Linked DNA regions of Rhinolophus ferrumequinum. The protein of the gene in region 1 interacts with the protein of each later gene in a biochemical or structural test. Links are inferred from orthologs where the notes say so. Each region holds a gene or a part of one and is shown on either strand. Other genes may lie near its edges.

What was found.
Region 2: the proteins of PJA1 (region 1) and NSMCE3 form a complex in vitro, tested with the Homo sapiens proteins (2 studies listed by BioGRID). The link is inferred for Rhinolophus ferrumequinum from reciprocal best matches to the Homo sapiens genes PJA1 and NSMCE3.

The regions. Positions count from the first base shown.
Region 1 is NC_046284.1:3,153,441-3,165,339, reverse strand, and holds PJA1 (E3 ubiquitin-protein ligase Praja-1), read right to left. Parts: upstream 4,674-11,899; 5' UTR 4,544-4,673; intron 2,364-4,543; 5' UTR 2,297-2,363; coding exon 596-2,296; 3' UTR 161-595; downstream 1-160. UniProt on the Homo sapiens protein: Has E2-dependent E3 ubiquitin-protein ligase activity. Ubiquitinates MAGED1 antigen leading to its subsequent degradation by proteasome. May be involved in protein sorting.
Region 2 is NC_046311.1:13,568,483-13,579,264, reverse strand, and holds NSMCE3 (non-structural maintenance of chromosomes element 3 homolog), read right to left. Parts: upstream 3,674-10,782; 5' UTR 3,594-3,673; coding exon 2,691-3,593; 3' UTR 2,139-2,690; downstream 1-2,138. UniProt on the Homo sapiens protein: Component of the SMC5-SMC6 complex, a complex involved in repair of DNA double-strand breaks by homologous recombination. The complex may promote sister chromatid homologous recombination by recruiting the SMC1-SMC3 cohesin complex to double-strand breaks.

The DNA.
Region 1 (11,899 bases):
CTTTTTGCTGCTGTCAGAGTCAGCATTTTCAGTGAAACGAAAGTTTTCCTACTATTGGGAGCACCAAAAAAACCCTATTTTTGATGCAAATGCAAGGGATCCATCACAAAGGCACTTAGTACCTCCGTCTTAGACAAAACCAGACAATTCCACTATACCATGAAATACCAAAAGAATTTTAATAAGCTTTTACGGCACTGCAATTACAGGAACATTAACCCATAACATGCAACAGAACTGGTGATGCCTTTTGGACTTATTTAACAGATGAACTTGACGTTACAGTTAACAGCAACATATTCTACTGAAGAAAACGAATGCAACTGATTTCAATGTTCAGGTTAGAAAAGGTATGTTCTTACTGCAATGTCAAGTAGCATTTAGAAAGTTTAGTTTGTCCTTTCTAACCTCTAAAAGACAGTATGACTTTTACTGCAATCATACACAACTCTTTTCACATTGGAAATGATCACAAGAAATCAACAGGTGTAGATTAATCATTGGTTTCATTTCACTTGTTAATTCTGAGGGCTCCTGCAGTGTTGTGGATTTGGGATGGGGAAAATCAGCAGACCAGGAGTAAAGAGCCTTGGTCTTAGAGTGGGGGAGGGAACATGCAGCGGCACACAGGGCAGGTGCCAGACTTCTGGAGCCAGATAGACACACAGGGCTTGTGGAAATAGTGGTGGCATGGCAGCTCTGTCGCCACCTCCCCCTTCACATATTCACTGCAACAGATGGGGCAGCACATTTCTTGGCCCACTGCGCTGTGGTCTTCAGTGACCAGGATCTCGGGAAGAGTGTTGATGCTCTCCTTGCTCGCTGGTGGGTTGGCAACCTCCACATCTACAGCGAGGGACTCCAAGTGTGCGAGGGCAGTTTCCATTGCTTGGGCCAGGCGTTCTTCGAGTGCCATGTATGTCAGGAACTGCGGATCCACGTAAGAAATGGCTTCAGCCACCCCCAACCCATCTGCAAACCCATCGAAGAGGCTCCAATCCACCTCTAGGTCTTCACTCACGCTGGAGTCGTCTTCAAGGTTATTGTTGCCGTCCAGCATGAAGACGCCAGGCTGCAGAAACTCCTGGCCCGAATCATTCTCGCCCTCACTGCCACTCTCATTTTCAGTGTATTGCAGCCAAGGGGCTTCTCCTCCTTCCGGGGATGCCTGCTCCGCCTCCCGAAGAGATGGTCCTCGGACTTCAAGTTCTTTGCTGCCACTGCTGCAGGGGCTGGCGCCGGCAGCGCCATTCACGAGGCCTGGCTCAGGTTCATGCTCTTCTTTCCCTGGCAGGGTGTCCCAGCTTTCACCGCTGGACGACAGGTTGTGCTCCCGACCCCGATACTTCCGCCGCAAAGCAGCAGTCCACTCTTTGTCACTGTCTGACTCTTCATCGCAGTATTTGTAGTAATCGTCGCTGTACGTCCAGAAGTCAGGGTCGGCCATGGTGCGTCGCCGTCTCGGCAGCTTTTCTGGCTTCACTTGCTCGTTCCTGGCCTCCCTCTTGTCCTCGGGGTACTTCGGCTCAGAGTGGCCACTTGAACTCTCACCTCTGCCTCTTCTTGCCAGGCTATCTGAGGGGCCTTCATCAGTGCTGGCAGTACCCCTCCACCTGGAGGTACTGTGTGGCATATCGTCATCGTCATCAGTATCAAAAAATATTTTTGGTTTCGCGCAGCTGGGACTGGCCAGATTTCTGATTTTGGGCCTCACCACGGGTTCCTCTCCACCCTTTGGGGTGTTTTCCCCACCACCACAAAGACTCACAGGAGCCCTGCTGAGACGCACAGGAAAATTCTGCTCACGTCTCTCCCTCTCCAGGCTGTCGCCTTTTGCGGCCACCTTGCGGCCCACAACAGAGGTCTGAGAAGCCATGCTCTTCTGCTGCAGGAACCCAGCTCTGGCAGAGGGGGCTGGGTCTAGCTTGCTAAACTGGCCCCTCACATCATGGTTAAAACCAGGCAAGTGCGGGGGCATCCCAACCAAAGACCTTGCCCCTTTCTCTGCATCATCTTTAAACTTGCCAGTTTTCCCTCGTACTGGTACTGGCGCTAGTGCCACAGGCCCAGCCCCCTCCTCCTCGCTCTCATCTTCCCGCAAAGAGTCAATAGGTCCATAAGCCATTCCTCTTCTGCTACCCAGAAGCCTATACTCTCTTGGCGGGTACCTGGAGTAGTCCTCATTATCTACATTCAGGCCGCTTCCCAAGTTCTCACTGTCATCCCAGCGACGACGAACACTGGACAGTGGCAATCGGCTCCTCTTGGCGGTCTGACTGGGGGCTGGTCTGTGCATTGGGACTTCAGATGTCGTCTTTCTCTGGCTGGAAATCCTTTCCTGCTGGCTCGTGGATGGCCTGAAACTGACATAAGCATGCCTTCTTCCATACCTCCTGCCTGTGTGGGCCTGATACCCTCCTGCTGCCTTGGGCCCTAAAGGCTTGCTAGATTCCTGACCCACTGCTCTGCCTCGGGGTGGTTTGCAATACAGCTAGGCTCAAGTGGAAAGGCCCCTGTGCCCCACACACACTCTGGAGATGGGAAAATCCAATCAGTTCAGAAGAAAGGAACAGGGAGATTTAGCTCCAAGTCAGCAGGTAACAAAAAGAATACGGGGCCTTTGGAATTAGTTTTACTTTCTTCTAAGGCCTGTGGTAGCATTCCAGTGACTGGCAGGTGTATACCTGGAACACATTTTTGATGTTGGCAAAATGATAACAAAACTGGGTTTATAGGAAAGCCAGACTTCAGGAGAATCTGACAGAAGATGGCGTGAGGCAGGGGTGACTGGATGCTTGGAACGTGGGTGAAATACTATGAAATTGTGCCAACATGGAGAAAGGAAAGACCACTGAGGGATTTTTTTTATGTGATGTCTGCGTTTTTCTGAGCCCTGCAGACATACAGGACAATTGCAAATAGAAATAGAATGGGAAATACAGATCGGTGTATATGCATTGAGTGCCCATGTGTCTGTCAGGAGGAGAAGAGCAGGTGGAAGGGGAAATAGCAATCGTGCAATGGACAGATGCCTGTGTTTGCAGGGGGAAGGGGCAGATGACGGTGGCATTGGGAAGAGTTGTGTCACAGAATGAGACCCATTCTCGCTGTGGGTATAAAATGACAGGTGTGGATGGGGCGGCTTTAGAGGAGAGGGGCGTGTGTAAATATGAAAGAGAATGTTCGTGTTTGGTTGTATGTGTGGTGGCTGGAAGTCTGGAGGGACGCCTGCGTTTATGTGTCTGTGGCAGGTAAAGAAGCGTATGGTGGCATTGGACAGGAGTGTCCATGAGTTTGTGTGTGTTCGTCAAAACGGGAGGCAACAATGGGGAAATGTCAGTTTGAGCAAATATGTAGATGGCAGACAGCACTGGACAGGGATGTATGTGTGACCGGTGGTCGGGTGGCCAGCAATCAAAGAATGTCTGTATGCATGAATGTGGCTAGCGGCGGGGGGCGGGGGGGGGAAGGTGTCCCTGGAGAAGGATTTCTGTGAGTGTGTGCACCACAGGGACCAGCAAAGGAGAGCTGTCTTTGCACACTCGTAGCAGACAGGAGCATTTGGGACGGGTGTGTAAACACGTGTGGGGGAGCATTTATATGTAAGGGATATATGGGAGATGAGCCAGAGATAGGATATCCTTAAGTGGGTATATGGCCGGCAGAGAGACAGAGAGAGAGAGAGAGAGAGAGAGAAGGCACTGAAGGCTGTGACAGTGTGAGCATGTGTGTCCATGCGTGTATGGGGGAGGGGACGCACAGGAACCTTGAGTATAGGGGCAAGGAGGGGGGCTCTAATGGAAGGTTTCTGTGTGTATGTGTGCGTGCGTGCTTGTGTGTGTGTGTGTAGTCCCTGCATGAGTGCGTTTGTGGGTGTGTGTCCCCAGCTTGCACGCCTGAGAGACACCGGGAGGAGACAGCAGGAGGATGAGGGGGACAGACAGAGAGGGGGAAGGGCGACAATGTCATAAGGAGAGAGGGGAAAACGTTATCAGCTCAAATGGCAGATCCCAATCAACGTGCAAGGGGAAAACAGAAAGAAAAGGTCGGTGGGGGTATACTTTTTCCCTGGGAATAATGTGTTTTTCTGAAAACAATTATTTTCCTGGAAACAATATATTTACCTAAAATTTTTAACAATTTACCATTCAGCAAACCAACTGAAAAATGGGGGCAGAAAGGCCACAGAGTGCTCTGCAAAGGGGCCGAGAAGGGAGGCAGGGTGGGGGGAGGAGAAGCAGGGAAAGGTGGGAGACTGCCACGACCACCACTCCTTCTCTAACAGTGATTAAAGCCATTCGACTGCGGGGGTGCTGCGCCACACGAAAGGGGCTGAGGGACAGAGGATGGGGCCCCCAAACAGGCCGATGGATGACACAGGCCTCCGTCTGCAGTCAGGTCCCGCGTCCGCCCCACCCCTTCCCGAGGGGCGAGCCGGAAAATCTGTTCGCTAGACCTCCCCGAAATCCTCGCCCCGGTACCCGGCCATTCGCCCCACCGCCACGTCTGGATGAATGGAGGAAACCAACAGCGTTTCACTCACCGGTCCCGTCACACGCGCGCTCTCGGGAGGAGCAGAGCTCGCGGACCTCCGACCGCCACGACCGTCAAAGCCACTGCTCTGGGTCCTGCTCCTCCTCCGCCAGACAGCAGCGGGAGGGCGGCGACTGCGGCGGCGGAAGTGACGGTAGCGTCAGCTGGAGCCGCCCCCTTGATGTGGCGGGGGCGGCAGCTGCTCTAGACAAACCGGGGTGGGCCTAAAGCTTTATTTCATTTTAAATGATGAAATCGTCAAGGATACAGAAAAGGACAGCGAGAAATGTAACCAACAGCCAGCTTTAACAAATGTTAACCATTTAGCCATATTCCCTTCTGTTCTGGATTTTTTTTTTTTAATAAAACGAAATCTGCAAATTCTTTTTGATTAATTCCAATGTGAAAGTAATTATATTAATATATCATATCCTATGTTATATGTTATGGTTTGTACTGGAAGTATTAAAAATGTGAGACTGTATTTAGGATTGCAGTAAGCTTAAATTTTTTTAACCTGGTGGTTCAAGCAGATTGAACTGTTTCCAGTAGAATTTGTTGCTGTTAATCACAAAATCAAGCTTGTCTATCCACAAGAAATGATCAATCATGAAGCACAACACAGGTTCACATTCTGGTAATTGCTCTGCAGTTTAAAAACATTAGTTTCTCTAATATTTGCTACCAATGGAGACTTCCTTATGTTCACATCAACAGTGAAGTTTTGTTCTTACTGGAAATAAAATGCGTGATAGAAGAACAAAAAAATTTTAGGGGTAACAACAGAATAGAAATAAGATGTATAACTTTCAAACCATTAAAGAAGTAATATGTAGAACAAAGAGAAAAACTCAATCTAACAAAGGGCAGAAATGGGGTGAGAGGCAACCAGAAGGGATGTGAAAAAACCCAAGCAAAGCAAAAGGCAGGCAAAAATCCAAATACATCAGTACGTACTATGGATTCACATTGCCTATTAAAAATCAAACTCTCATTTTGAGCATTTCGTTTTTAGAAATCCAGTTATACACTCTTTCTATGAATCTCACCTAAAGCAAAAATAGGACTGGAAAATACATACATGCCAGTTAAATACTGGCAGAAATGAAAGAAGGAAGAAGAGAAGGAAGGGAGGGAAGGTGGGAGGGAGGAGAAGGAAGAAATTTTAAACAGAAAGAAAAAGAAGGGAAGAAGGAAGGAAAGAAGGAAGGAAAGAGACTTGTAGTAATGTTAAGATCAGAAAAATTAATAACTCAAAGTAAAAAGCTTTAAAGAGAACAAAATAGGTTGTTTCATTCACCGAGAAGATATAGTCGTTCAAATTTACATACCAAACAATGTAATTTCAAAATATATGAGGCAAATATTGTTAGAAATACAAAGAGAGATCAGAAAGTCTGCAATTCTAGCAGGAGACTGAAGCACACTTGTTATGGTATAGATAGATCAAATAGACTAATAAATCAGGATATACAGCGATTGAATGACAAAATTAATAAGCCTGATCCAATGTATATGTATTTTTGCACTCAAGAAAGGATGCATTTTTATCAAAAAATATTTCAAATATGCCAAACATGCAGAAAAGTAGAGTACAAACATGCACATTTGCAAGTACCTGTCACACAGATTGAGCAAATTGTCTTTTCTTCAGATCTTCAGGTCCTTCTGTTTTGAAGCAAAATGTTACAGTTGAAGCCCTCACTTTATCCTATTCATCTTTCTTCTTTTCCCAAAATGGTATCATAATAACTATATCCTTTTGTGGCTTAAATTTTCACTTATTTTTTGTAAATTTAGCAATTTCCTACATTGAAATCTAGGTAATTCATTTTTAACTGCTGAATACTATTGAATCAATTTTCCAATATGATTTTACCATAATATATTATTGTAGGGACTTCTGTTGCATGATTATCCAATTTATTTATCTCTTTCCTATCTGATAGACTTGGGCAATTTCTGTTGTGTGCAATTATAGGTGAGGATTTAATGAACATCCTAGCGCATGGCTCTTGTGGCCATATGGAAGAGTTTCTCTGGGGCAGTTCTGATATATTGATTCCCTTACCCTCCAGGGAAGATGGACCTGGCTTCACTCAGCTGCTGCCCTGGAGTCTATTGCCCCTGGTACAAAAATTAGCATTTTTAACGTGTGCTCTGATGTGAAAAGGATTGGGAAAAAAACTGCTCTAGCATATGCATGTTGAAGTGGAGTTTCTGGGTCAAAGGGTATGTAGTAGTATCTATGCTGCGTCACAAATTGCCCCCAAATTTAGCAGCTTAAAACAACAAACATTCGTTATATTACAATTACTGTGAGTCAGAAATCTATGAATGGCTTAGCTGGGTACCTCTGGTTCGCAGTCTCTCATGAGGTTGCACTCAAGCTGTCATCTGGGGCTGCAGTCTCACTTGCAGCCTCAGTTGGGGTGGGATGTCCACATCCAAACTCTTACGTGGCTGTTGGCAGGCCTCAGAAGATCTACTTCAAAGCTCAGTCATGTGCAGCCCTACCTAATACATAGAAACAAACACAGGGAGGCAGCTAAAATGGGGAGACAAAGAAACGTCCCAAATAAAAGAACAGAACAAAGGTCCAGAAAAAGAACTGAGGGAAATGGAGACAAGCAATCTATCAGATGCAGAGTTCAAAACACTGGTCATAAGAATGCTCAGTGACCTCAGGGAGAACTTCAACAGAGAGATAGGAAGCATAAAAATGGAGATGGAAACCATGAAAAAGAACCAGTCAGAAATAAAGGATACAATAACAGAAATAAAGACTATATTACAGGGAATCCACAGTAGGTTAGATGAAGCAGAGGATCCAACCAGCAATGGTAGAAGATAAGGTAGCAGAAAACACCCAACCAGAACAGCAAAAAGAAAAAAGAATCAAAAAAATAGAGGAGAGTTTAAGGGGCCGCTGGGACAATATCAAGCATACCAGAATTCGCATTATAGGGGTACCAGAAGGAGAAGAGAGAAAGCAAGGAATTTGAAAACCTGTTTGAAGAAATAATGACTGAAAGCTTTCCTAACCTGGCAAAGGAAAAAGACATACAAGCCCAGGAAGCGCAGCAAGTCCCAAACAATATGAACCCAAAGAGGCCCACACTAAGGCACATCATAATTAAAATACCAAAGGTTAAAGACAAAGCAAGAATCTTAAAAGCAGCAAGAGAAAGGCAGTTAGTTACCTGCAAGGGAGCTCCCATAAGACTGTCAGCTGATTTCTCAACAGGAACTTTGCAGGCCAGAAGGGAGTGGCAGGAAACATTCCAAGTGATGAAAAGCAACAACATACAACCAAGATTACTCTATCCAGCAAGGCTGTCATTTAGAATTGAAGGACAGATAAGGAGCTTCCCAGACAAGAAAACGCTGAAGGAGTTCATCACCACCAAACCAGTATTACAAGGAATCTTAGAGGGACTTCTTTAAGAAGGGAGGGGGGTGTTAAGGATGAGTAAAAGGGGAAGAGATTAAGGAAGTACAAATTGGTTGTTACACCGTAGTCATGGGGATGTAGGGTATAGCATAAGGGATACAGTCAATAATATTGTAATAACTAGATGTGGTCCAGGTAGGTACTAGATCTATCAGGGTGATAGATTGTAATGGGGTTGGGGGCAGGGTGAAAAAGGTGAATTGGTAGTTAATACAGCATGGGGAATATAATCAACAATGTTGTAAAGATCATGTGAGGTGCCAGAAGGGCACTGGACTTATCAAGGGGATCACTTCATAGACTGTATCCAATGCGCTATACACCTGAAGCTGAAGTAGAATAATATGGGATGTCAACTATAACTAAATACATAGATATATTTATAGTCACAGGATGTGGCATACAGCAAAAGGAAGTCGATGGTATTGTAACAGCTATATAAGATGTCAGAGGGGTAGTAGCTTGGGGGGTGAGTTATCTCTTTATGAGGAGTTTAAAGGTCTAACTAGTATGTTGCTTTGTACACCTGAAACTAATTAAAAAAAAAACTCAATCATGTAGTTGCTGTCAGGCTTCGATTCCTTGCCATGTAGGTCTATCCATAGACTTCCTGAGTCTCCTCACAACATGGCAGCTGGTGAGAGAGTGTGCCGGAGAGCACCCAAGATGGAAGACATAGTCCTTTTATGACTTAAGCACAGAAGTGACATCCCAACACTTTTGCTTTATCCTATTTATTAAAAGCGTGCCATGGATTTTGTCCATTTCATCTGTTATCAAATTTGTAGGCATAGAGTTTCATGTCTTTATTATCCTTTTAATGTCCATGGGATCGGTAGTGATGGCTCCTTTCTAATTTCTGATATTAGTAACTTTGTCTGCCCTCTTTTTTCTTTGCCAGCCTGGCTAGACACTTACCAACCTTACTAATATTTTTCAAAGAATCAGTTTTTGGTGTCTTTAATATTCTCTATTGTTCTGTTTTCAATTTCATATATTTCTGCTCTTTTATTATTTCTTTTCTACTGCTTACTTTGGATTAAAATTGCTTTTCTTTTTCTAGTTTCCAAAGATAGATGCTTAGATTATTGATTTTAGATCTGTCTTCTTTTCTAATAGGCATTCAATGCTATAAATTTCCCTCTAAGCACTTCTTTTGCTGCATCCCACAAATTTTGGTAAGTTATAGTTTCACTTTCATTTATTTCAAAATACTTAAAATTTCTCTTGAGACGTCTTAATCCATATGTTATATAGTAGTGTGTTGTTTAATCTCTAAATATTTTGAAATTTTCCCATCTATCTTCCTGTTATTGATTTCTAGTTTAATTCCACCGTGGTCTGAGAGGACACTTGGTATGATATTTATTCTTTTAAATTTGTTAAGGTGTGTTTTATGGCCCAGGGTGTGGTCTATCTTGGTGAAAGTTCCATGTGAGCTTGAGAAGAATGTGTTTCTGCTGTTGCTGGATGCAGTAGTCTATAGATGTCAGTTATATCTAGGTGATTGATGGTCCTGTTCAGTTCAACTATGTTCTTACTGATTTTCTGCCTGCTGGATCTGTCAATTACTAACAAAGGGGTGTTGAAGTCTCCCACCTATAATAGTGGATTTATCTATTTTTCCTTGTAGTTCTACCACTTTTTGCCCCACATATTTTGATGCTCTGTTGTCAGGTAGGTACACATTAAGGATTATTATGTCTTCTTGGAGAATTGACCCCTTTCATCATTATGTAATGGGCCTATTTATACCTGATAATTTTCCTTGTTCTGAAATCTGCTTTGTCTGGAATTAACATAGCTATTCCAGCTTTCTTTTTATTAATATTAGCATGTATATTTTCCTCTATCGATTTACTTTTATCTGTGCCTTTTAGTTGGGTCTTTAAAAAAAAAATCCTTTCTGATAGTCTCTGCCTTTTAATTGGTGTAGTTAGACCATTCACATTTAAAGTGATTATTGATATAGTTGGATTAATATCCACCATATTTGTAACTGTTTCCTATTCATTGCTCTTATTCTTTGTTCCTCTCTTTTTTTGTCTTCCACTCTTTTTCTGCCATCTCTGATTTTAAATGAGCATGTTATATGATTTCATTTTCTCTCCTCTCTTAAAATTTCAATAATATCTCTCATTTTCACATTTTTCAGTGGTTACCCTAGTGTTTGCAATATACATTTACAGCTAATCCAAGCCCACTTTCAAATGACACTACATACTAGTTCATGGGTAGTGCAGGTATTCTGTAAACGAATATTTCCAGTTTTTTCCTCCTGTCCCTTATAGCATTGCTGACGTTCATTTCACATATGCATAAGTTACAATCATCCAACACATTGTTGTTACTATTTTGTTGAACAGTTTTTTGTTAGATCAGTTAAGAATAAGAAAAAAATGGAAGATTTTATTTTATTTATACTTTCATTTACTCCTTCTCAAATGTTCTTCCTTTCTTTTGTGTGTGAGCTATATCATTTTTCTTCTTTATGAAGAACTTTTTTTAACATTTCTTCAAGGCAGATCTCAGAAGTGACACCCTAACACTTTTATCATATTTTATTAAAGGGAATTACTAGTTCTAGCCCACACTCACGGGGAGGTGATTACACAAGGGCAGGAATTCCAGGAGGTGGGGGGGTCTTTGGGGCAGGAGGGGTAGGAGTATTTCAGTGTCAATAGATACTATTGCCAATCCACTTTCCAAAGTGTTCGCACCAATTTTTTTCCACCCAGAATTTATTCACATCAGTTTTCTGCACACTCCACCACTTTTTTAAAAGATTTTTTTCTTTATTGGGGAAGGGGAACAGGACTTTATTGGGGAACAGTGTGTACTTCCAGGACTTTTTTCCAAGTCAAGTTGTTGTCCTTTCAGTCTTAGTTGTGGAGGGCGCAGCTCAGCTCCAGGTCTAGTTGCCGTTGCTAGTTGCAGGGGGTGCAGCCCACCATCCCTTGCAGGAGTCCAACCGGCAACCTTGTGGTTGAGAGGACGCACTCCAATCAATTGGGCCATCTGGGAGTTTGGCGGCAGCTCAGCTCAAGGTGCTGCATTCAATCTTAGTTGCAGGGGGTGGAACCCATCATCTTTTGCCGGAGTCAAGGAATTGAACCGGCAACCTTCTGGTTGAGAGCCCACTGGCCCATGTGGGAATCGAACCGGCAGCCTTCGGCATTAGGAGCATGGAGCTCTAACCGCCTGAGCCACCAGTCCGGCCCCACTCCACCGCTCTTTATACATTCAGACTTAAAATTGTTGCCAATCTGATGGCTATGTAAAATTGCTGTTTGACTTTGCTTTCCCCTAAATTACTAGAGAAGTCAAGCATCTTCTTGCATTTGTTGTTTAGATTTCTTCTTGTCTGAATTGTTTGTTCATATATTTTGTCCATTTTTCTGTCGGGGTGGTTTTTCTTATTATTATTGACTTCTAGGAATTATTTATATATTCTGGATACCAGATGTCAGTTATATTTGTACAGTTGTAAATATCTTCTTCTAGTTGATGTTTTCTTTAAATGGAAATGTGAAATTATAAAAGTACTTAAATAAATGACAGGCTGTTTGGGAATTTTGTTTGTTTGCTTGTTTGTTTTGGTATAATCCTGAAGTAGAGAAGATCGCTATAGATTTGACAAAATATACAGGAGCAAAAATAATAAAAGCCTCAACTACATAAAAACAAAATCTTCTGGCAGGCAAAAATATACTAAATAAACAATTCTAAGTAAAGTAAAAGGAAAAGAAAACCTGGGGAAAATATTTGCTGCTAATTTCATAGACAAAGGGTTCATTTCCCAAATACATGAAGAATTCCTATAAATCAATAAATGATCAACAAAGCAATTTTAAAATGAGGAAAGGATATGAATAGACATTATATGGGGAAAAAATACAGATGACACTTAAA
Region 2 (10,782 bases), on another chromosome or scaffold:
CATGTCTTATAAGATGATTTGGCTTTGTAGGGACCAGCGTGCTTATTTATGCCTCAGGGCCTTTGCACATACTCTATTTATGGCTGAATCCCTTTTGTTCCCCTTTCCACCTGGTGAACCACCGCTCAAGCTTATCAACACTGCTCACAAAAAGAAAAAAAAAACACAAAAGAATTGGAAAAACAAAACAAAACATATTATGATGCTATAGAATTATAGCATGATATTGGCAAATGGACAGCAAATAAACCAAGTCACTTCGAGCCATAAATTTGCTTACATATGAGAAACAGCTATATAATAAAGAGTATATTATAAATCAGTGTGGAAAGAATGAACTATAAAAAAACTGGTGCTATGCGATCCATATAGGAAAAACGTGAAAATTATATCCATATTTCACATCATACACAAAAACAGATTAAAAACATAAACATGAAAGTCAAAGTTTTAAAAACTTAAAATACTAGGAAATATCTTTACAAATATTAGGATTACGGAGAATTCATTGATGGTAAATTAACTTCTCTATGAGAAAAGTGTGGGAGAGGGTATTTGCCTGAGATGTAAGGAACAACGGGTGTTGGGTAATGATAATTTCACCATAAAGATGAAAATGTCAGTATTAGAACACACGAGAGGGGAAGGCAGTCAGTGAGATTAAGGGGACCAGTAAGCAGGATGCTTTAGTGAAGGTAATTTATACACTAAAATAAAATGCAAACGAAAAAAATCTTCAAGGACCAACTATACTCCATTGATGAAATAAATGCAAATTCCGGTTCAACAGGAAGAAATAAAGCCCAATAAGGAACCGACTGCGCTCTCCATTTCAGCGCATACCATATACCCACCCACCACTCTTCCAGATGACATTTCTCTGTTGAGTGGTGATCAAATCTACTTTTTTTTTTGAGCTAAAGTATCGCCTTTCATGGTGGATGTGCAGTACCTTCCCCCAAACGACTACTTCCTCCTCCACTGAATACTTATTTGTTGACTCTGTGTACCAACAACATTTTGCCAGAAGCTCTGGGGGAACACTATGAGACCATGAGCTCTTTTCTTCACTCATTTAATGCACGTAACAAACTATTATTATGTTATTTTCCCCATTTTACAGATAAGGAAATTGAGAGTCAGAGAGCTTAAAAGCTACCCCAAATCCCCATGCTGAAATAGCATGGGCCATAATTCAAATTTGTCAACCGCAAAACCCACACCCTTTTCACTATACCAGTGACCCTCAAAGCTCCAGTCTAACTTTCCTGCTCTTAAGCTATTTTATGTGGGCTCTCCTCACCACATATCTACCATGTGATGTTTCTCCAGAAAACCAAGAGTCAGACTAGAAGAATAGTGTCATAACTTTTGAACCAGTAATTCCAATTCTAGAAATGATTTGGAAAATAATGAAAAAAGACCTTAAAAAATTTTTTAACTGTTCCAGTCCAAGAATCATAAACAAATTAAAAAAAAAAAATTTAAGGAATTACTAAAATTGGCCACACCAAGCACTGTGCCAAGAACTTTACATACACTTCCATATCTATCACACCATTACACACACACACACACACACACACAATCATAGAGGTACCATAAGCCCATATTCTAGGTGAGGAAACATCCCTAAGCAAGTTAAGTAACCTGCCCAAATTTATATGGCTAGTTACCCTTGTTTCCCAGGAAATAAGACCTAGCGGGACAATCAGCTCTAATGTGTCTTTAGGAGCAAAAATTAATATAAGACCCGGTCTTATTTTACTATAATACAAGACAGGGTCTTATATAATACTGGGTCTTATATTAATTTTTGCTCCAAAAGATGCATTAGACCTGATTGTCCCGTGAGGTCTTATTTTTGGCAAAACACGGTAGGTGCAGCCAGGACTAAATCCAGGTAGTCTGATTCTCAAGTAGGCTGGTTAATCACTAATGGTTTCATCAACTTTTTTGTGACCCACAGTAAGAAATATATTGTACATCATGATCCAATCTGCAGGAACACATATAAAAAGTAAAGCAACTTCTACAAAACACTTAACATGTAGCAAAAACTGCCTTTAAGATGCTGGTTTTAAGTCATGAAATTAATTTCTCATGATTCACAATTTAAAAAATGCACAATGCATAACTGCTTCAAAGATATAGTATTTATTATAACTATAGTAGCAAAAACAAGGAAAACCAAACCGACCTAAGTGGTAGTTATGAAAGTAAAAAACATTTACATTGCTTGGAACAATGCTTACATATGTAGGAAATATATAAATATAAAATAGCTGTGTTAAGGCAAAAAGGGATACAGGCAGTCACATTTTTATTTTTAATTTGCAAAGGCTTTTCTTTTTCCTTACAAACTGGGGTAGTTAAGAGGCCAGGTTAACAGCCACTTCCTTTTTATTTTCTGGGCGCCAAAGCAATTTACTGATGTGTTCTTCCTTCAATCTCTGTTCCAGATCACAGCACAAACGTTTTCCCATTAGTTTTACAAAGCTAGCCAAATTTTTATACCCACATATACAGACAGTAAAACACGCCAAATAAATCCTCTCCCGAATGGTTTTGTCAACGACACTTTGGAACCACGTACCTTGTAGTACTAACAGAACACAACTCTGCAAACACATCCTACAGCTACACACATTTAAGCCTCACAGAAAAGTGCTCCCGCCACCCCCACCTCTTCAACCGGTGCTTTTGACCCTTCTCCCCGCCGCGGTTTCGAGGGACGGGGCTGGGCCCGCCGTCTGAGGCCGGGCCCGGGCCTCCTCCTCCGCCAAAGCCTCACAGTACTGCGCGGGCCAGTCCTTGGGGTCCTGCTTGTGGACTTTGGCCACGAACTTGAGGACCTTCATCTTGCTGGTTTCCAGGTTGGTGCGCGGGCCCCACTGGAATTCGTAGTCGACCGGATCCGTGTGGGGAATCCGCCGGTACTCCAGGTAACGCTGCCGCACGAAGTCTTCGGTTATGAGTTTCTTTGGGTCCCCGAAGATTAAATGCTTCTTGGTGGGGAACACCCCCAGGCGCCGCAGGAAGTCCCAGACCTCGGTCTCCTTGATGCTGTTGCCCTTCATGAAGATGAGCCCCAGGACGATCATGAGGAGGCCGGTGGTGGGCGTGCCCTGGTCGCCCCTCAGCTCCGCGTCCTCCTCCACCGGCTCCAGGCTGTTGATGAGAATGTAGCTGTTGCTCTTGGGCTCCAGCTCCACCAGCTTGTACCCGAACACGTACTGCAGGCGCTCGGCGGCCAGCCTCAGGAGGTCGGCGAAGATGTCCCTGTAGTCGCCGATCACGTGCTTCAGCATGTCGCTGCGCTTGATCGGGATCTTCTTCTGGTCTTTGATCAGCAAGAACTGCACCAGCTCGGCCACCTTCAGCTCCAGCTGCTTCTGGGACCTGGGCCCCACGGCCGGGGACGCCTCGGCCCGGCGGGCGCGCTGAGGCGAGCTGCCCACCCCGCGGGAGGTGCTCGGGGCCTCCTCGGCGACGCCGCCTCTCGCGGCCCGGCTGTCTCCGCCGCGGCCCCAGTCCTTCTCCCTCTCGGCCTGGCCGCCAAGGCGGCCCCGGTGTCTCGGCTTCTGCAACATGTCGCCGGCGGTGACGGCTGGGCGACCGCGCGGACTCCGGCGGGCGGTAACCGGCAGCAGCGGCAGCTGAGGGAAAGCGGCGCGCGGCGAGGATGGGGGGGAGGGGCGCGCGACACGCCGGGGCGGGGCCAGAGGGAGCGCGCGCCGCGTCGAGACTGCGCGCTGCGTCGGCGGGGCCTGCGCGGCGCGTCACGGAGGCGACGTGTTGCGTGCGCGGAGTCTCTTGGCCGCCGCGGCTTTCTGCGCAGCCCCGCGGGGTCACCGCAGTGCTTTTATTAGTCGGTGCTTAAAAGTGTCGTCCGTTCCCAGCCGCGCAGACAGGGAACCGGAGCCCAGACTCCTCAAGAGGAGTGCGGCTACGTTCGCGCCCGCACAGGCTCAGGGAAGTGTTTTCAAGTCGGGAATAGTTTTAGATGGAGCGAAGTCAAGGAATGGGGGAGAAACATAAGGTGAAGAGAAAGCGAAGAGCGTGCAAGTGAAGAAAAAGCATTTCCTTTTACACACAGCTGGACGTAAAAAGAAAAGACCCAGAAGACGCCTAGATTGTTTTGCCTTCGCCACTCCCCTCGCACAAGTTTAAACCCTCCTCACCATTTACCACCATTACTTTCACGAATGCCCCTGAGAGTCTATTAAAAACGAATGTTTGGTAAAGCAGGCTTGCCTCGCAAGCAGGACTCCCCCCATCTTTTCACGATTTCAGTGTTTATATTTTTGCATTATACTCCATCAGCTAGACAACTATGACCAAGCCACCACATACAGTGGTTTTGCTTGGTCAAATGAGTTTATCTTCTGGAACGCACGTGATCACGTGAACTGCCTTGGGCTCACAACCACAGTTTTAGCAGAAATGGAAAAAAAGGATGCTACAAACAGAGAAACGTGTTCTCTCAAGAGATTACCATTTAATTTTGGGCATCACTGATCAAGAATTGCAATAATGTGAATCTCTTAAATTTCTCAATTCTTAAAATATCTGCCTTAGGGCTCGATGAGAAAGAGAAGAGAACCCAGGGGTATCATCCCTCATAATCTGTGATGTGTGCTTTGTGTATATATATATTTTTTTAATTGTGCAACTATAATAGCCAACATGAGTCATTTCATTAACTCAAACTATCTGTGTCTGCTGCCATTACTTCTACAGATCGTAGTAATTGTGTTCCTTTTCTATTTACTGACTTGCAAAGAATTAACAATTTCCCTCTGTCTTTTTAAACTACCCAGAAAGTGGGTAACCTCTTCAAAGAACCAAATCAAATTGAGTTTCTCTTTAATGCAAATATATTCAAAGGAAAGCAATTCAAAACACATTATTTGAATAATAGCATCAAAACACAATCTTATTAAAAATTTCATTAAGTGTTAGCATAAAATTTTTGTTAGTAATTCAATATGAAAATGCAATCTGATAATGACACTGGAGCTGCACTAAATGTAAAATGATATTCCATGTTATGATGCAAGTATGCTCGCTAAAATCTGGTAAACTATGAGTAATAACTTTCTGTTCCATACAGGATCTAACAATATATTCTCAAGCATCAATCTTAATGACAGAAGACTACTATGAAAAACAAATATATCATCGAGGCATTCATTTTTTTTTTACAATGAGAAAATCCATCTGCTTCAGTTTTCTTGCAAATTAAAATTTGGACTGAGGATCAAAGAAAAACTACTGCAGCGGAGAATTCTGCAAAAGGTTCCTCCAATTGTGCCCTGAGTAAAAAATCAGCAACCATGAGATAACAGAGAAATGGAAAATAAGATGAAAGCCATCGTCAACAACTGGGCTGGTTTTTCAGTGTTTTTTTTTTTTTTTTTTTTTCTCGCAAAAGTGTTCACTTAAATTACCAAGTAGCCCCGCTAGTCAAGCTACCCCAGTGACTGTGAAAATCAGCTGTGTCCATCAGTGGAATCTTTAGTCAGATAGCAGATTGTCAAACTCAAAATGGGTGAGAAAAGATACCAGTTTAAAGTCTTAAAACACCTCTCTACACTGTGTCCAGAAGAATACAAGTGAGAAAATATCACATGATAATATTAGAATGAAGCTTATATACTGCATGGAGAAGGAGCCCAGACCCCCACTCCACCTTAGATTGACATAGTGTTTGAGGGAAAATTGTTGTCATGGTGATGGCAATAACAACACTAACACTAATAATAATAAATATAAACAACAGCAGCTGATGATTATTACAAAGGTAACTGTAGGTCAGACCCTATTCTAAGTGATCTGCACCTAGTACTTCATTTAATCCCCACAACAACCCCATGAGGCCCCATTTATTATGTTTTTCTTCTTACAAATGAAGAAACTGAAGCACAGAGAAGAATATTAACTCTTTTGAGGTCCTACAGCAAGAAAGTGCTAGATTTGAACCTGAACTAAGGCGTTCTGCCTCCAGAGACTGCCCTTAACCACACAATGCAAAGGGAACATGATGTGGTGTCCTTGAAAAAGTAAAAAGTCTGGGAGTCGGCCTGCCCTAAGTTAGATACCTGTATGACCCTGGGAAAGCTACTGACACTCCTTTCAGTTTCCAAATCAACAAAATAAGATTGATAATGATTTGCTTCTTTCCAGGGCGTTTATATTAAGGAAAATATTTGAGGACTACATAACGCTGTGTGAAGAAAGATGTTTACTGCAGCGAACCACGTGTGCACGAAAATCAGACGAAAGTCTGAAAAAATATATCACAGTGCTATTAAAAGTATTTTCTTTTAAAAATGAAATGCAATGTTTATTTTCTTGCTTTGGGAGATCAGTGAAAATATACTTTCAATCAATTTTAACATCTCAGGGACACCAGGCCATAACAGTTTTACACATTCAAATTTCCAGTAAATTCAGTGTAATTTGCATGGGACATTTGTGACTTTTTGTTTAGCCAGTGAAGTACTAAAGACAAGTGGTTAAAAAAAGAAAAACATTTTCAAACACTTTATGTTAATGACTTTAGTACTTTTATTACTAGACCCAAAAGAAAACAAAAATTATTTGAGGCAAAAAATTAGCTAGCTAAGATTTAGTTGCATTGAAAAAAGAAATGCCTACTACCAACTGCTGTTTAGACGTCACTAATTAATGGCTTTATTTCGTCTCCTTGGTAGCAAATGCCTGCCAAGAAGCTCTAATCATCCTTATTATCTACTGCATTCTCTTGGTTCCTTGGTATTTCTTGCAGAATCAGAGGAAGGTTTTACATTTCCTGGCAGTGACCTAGTACAAAAAAGTAAGTAAGGACGTTGGGGGAATAAAAGCAATGATCAAAGTAGGCAGCCAGCATGTGCGAGTGGCTCTGCTGCCTCTTCTAGTGGAAGAAAAGGGGGGCCGTGTGCAGCATGTGAGCAAAGGGGTTGGGTGGGGGTAGGGGCTATTTCGGCGGGTAGACAGTAGGAAAAGCAATGCAGCAACTCTCTTTTCAAGAAATATAAATCTTCCGATGACCCACGGCCTTTTACTTACGAAAATCATGAAGGTCTATTAAGTTATAAAATTACAAACACATGAGGTCTCAATAGTGGCCAATAATTTCTTTTCGTTGGCTGTTTTTGCCCCTGTTCTGCATCTTTACCCTTTGGTAATTGCTTCTTCCCATTTCTAGGAGACCCTGGAAAAAGCTCTGCCTTCATTTTCTGGGTGCATGTGATTCAGGCGGGCCACAGTGACTGGATTGGGAGTCCAGTCAGACTCCTTTTAGGGGTTCATATGAGCTCTCTCTGAGCTAACAAGCTGAAGGGGGATGTAAGCCTAGCTATCTCTGCCTTGCTTGGGAATAATCTGCAACATGGTGAAGGCAACTCAAAGGAGATCTAAGCGATGGAGAAACAGTCCGAATGGTGCTAACTGAAGTCCTGGATCCCAAGTGCAAGGCTGAACTCCTGGGATGACTAATTACTGGAGTAAGTAAAATCTGCTTTTGCTTTATCTGCTTCAAGTTGGTTCCCCTCACTTGAAACTGAACCAATTCTGGCTAAGTGGCATCCAAACCCATTACACAGAGGAAAAGAGGGTACTAAGGAACAAGAGTTTGTTTCAAAGTCACGGCAATAGACACGGTTAATATTACCTGCAAAGATATCTGAATGTAATGAGAGGTGATCTGAATAAAATTTGACAGTTTAGTTAGGGTTCTTGGCAGTGTTCTGTGGTTGGGGAACATGCTTATGATTTTAGTTGCCAGCAATAAGTGCAAGTAAGAAACCATGAAAGATTGTTTCTCCTTATAGAATGTACACATGAGCTAACCTGGTGATTTACCATGTAGAAAGGCGTTTCAGAGAACGTAGAACACACGCTGAAGCACCTGCTATGCCAGAGTAGCTCTTTTCTCCATGCTTAACCCAAAGCATTTCTCCAGTGGCCACACCATGCACGATGACAGACACCTCATTCTTTCCTCCTGGACTCCACTTTGGCCCTGAGCAGAGGTATAGATAACCACAGGGCAAGCGCACCGAAAAGGAGAATGGACGGGGCTAATTTAACCCTGCGAGGGACTAGGCAGATAGAACTGTTCACAGTAGCGAAAAGGTAGAAATGACCCCAATGTCTGCTTACTGATGAATGGAGAAAATGTATGCCAATACCACAGAGTATTTTTCAGCTTTAAAAAAGAATGAAGGACAAACACAGGCCATCATGTGGATGCACTTCAAAAACATGCTAAATGAATACAGCCACTCACCAAACAGCGTATATTGTATAATGCAACTTCCACGAAATGTCTAGAATAGGCAAATCCACAGAGGCGAAAAGTAGATTGATTAATGGTTGCCTAGAACTGGGGGAGGCGGGGAATGGGGGAATCACTACTCTTGGGGTGACTGAACATGTCATAAAATTAGGTGAAGATGATGGTTGCATAACTAAGCATGCTAAAAAACACTGAATCACGTACTTGACACAGGTGAACTTTCTCAGTGAACCTGTTTTAAAAAGAAGAACTTGACGAAGGCCAAGGTGAGGAATCTCATTAATAAGTTGCTCCTTCTGAAGTCTAACGACATGAGACAGAAAAGAAGATGAATAAACCAGGAACGAGAACCATCAAATGCATGCACTTAGGGCGCCCAGACTTTCTGCACCAACAATAACACAAAAAGAATTTTTCATTGAAAAGTTAAACTAAAATGGAGTAGGGCCAGCGGTTAAAATAATGATTTCCATCACTATCCCAGACTATGTTTGTTTGTATTTTAGGTGATGAACGAACATCTTTATGCTGCACGGCTGACAGAACAGTTTCATCCTTCCTCTGACACCAGTCTGCTCTGCATCCTGACAAAAGCCCTTCACTGGTCAGGTCTCAGCCTGGTCCCCTGAAGCAAGACTGGGTTGAGTTAGGCAAACTCTTCAGTATTGATATACGAAAAAGTCCTCAAAAGTACTCGAAAGTCTCACGGACATGGAAAGAAAAGAACCCATCCTGAAAGTAACAAAGAAATGCCTATTTCCTCATTTCTTAGGTGTTGGTATGCTGGAGCTTCCTGAGTTTCCTACAGCATCTGCTGGTAAAACAACGAGTTTCCTAATGTGACAATTTTTCTTTAAGTGACAACAACTCTGTGACTTCTAGGACAAACAGAGGTCTCCACTTAAAACTACTCTGCAGGAATGAATCCTCAACAGTAGCAAAACATCTCAGGAAATGGGGGCTCCAGCTGTCCCTGCTACCTCCTGGCTTCCTGCAGCACAGACGTCTGACACAGGTAGGCTTTCAGGGCTGCATCAATAGCTCTGGCCCTAGAATAGTCTTTGTTTTAAATTTATTTTTCAATTACTGTTGAATACAATATTAGTTTCAAGTGTATAACATAGTGGTTAGACATTTATATACCTTATGAAGTGATCACCTTGATAAATCTAGAACCCACCTGACACCATTGTTACTGTGTTATTATTGACTATATTTCCTGTGCTGTTCTTTACATCCCTGTGAGTATTTTGTACCTGCCAATCTGTACTTTTTAATCTCTTTCACCTACCCCCCAAACCCCTCCCATTGGCAACCACCAATTTGTTCTTTGTATCTGGGAGTTTGTTTCTATTTAATTTGTTCATTTATTTTGTTTCTTAGATTCCACATATAAGTTGAATCATGTGGTATTTCTCTTTCTCTGACTTATTTTACTCAGCATAATATCTTCTAGGTCCATCCATGTTGTTGCAAATGGTAAGATTTCATTCATTTTTATGGCTGAGTAATAGTCCATTGTATGTACAGAGGGTGCCAAAAAATATATACACATTTTCAGAAAGGAAAACTGTATTAAAATTGTACTACTCAATATATACCAGTAACAAAAGATGAATACAAGTGACATGTGACTTCTGCAATGACAAGAGGTGCTCAAAGTGGTTACCATCAGCGTCCAGACACTTGATTATGGCGAACTACTGCTTAAGAAATGTCGACCAAAGTGTGCACTTGTATATATTTTTTTGGCACCCCCCTCAGTATGTATCACCTCTTCTTTTCCGAATCATCTATTGATGGACACTTAGGCTGCTTCTGTGTCTTGGCTGTTCTAAATAATGCTGCAGTGAACATGGGGGTGTAAATGTCTTTTTAAATTAGTGTTTTGGATTTCATCAGATAAATACCCCGAAATGGAATTGCTGGGTCATAAGGTAGTTCTGTTTTTAACTTTTTGAGGACCCTCAATACTGTTTTCCATAGTAGCTGCACCAATTTACAATCCCACCAATAGCGCACGAGGGTTCTTGAGAGAAGGGCAAGATCAAAGAGAGGTCATAAATTTGATTCCGTATGCACCGTCACCCTATGCTTTCAAAACTGTATCTTCCCACTTATGAGCAAGTGTCTGTTATCTCAAAGAGTTCTATCATATTAAAATATATCAACCCAGACTGTGAAAACTGCTTCTGAATGACTCATACTGCAATATGTATAACTCCATCCAGGAGTCATGAAAATGCAAAATGAGTTAACATTTGCAAAAGTGTACATAGGTATGTTTATGATATGATTTAAAACTCAGCTCTTCTGCCCTGTGTTACAGGCACATTTCTGAATTCAACACACAACAGTGAATTGTACCAAGATCTACTGCAATTCAAAATAAATAAATGCCCCCCCCACACACACACACAAAAGGCTGTTCAAACATGTACAGTGGATGAAGCAAGTCCCACACAATGTTATGCAGG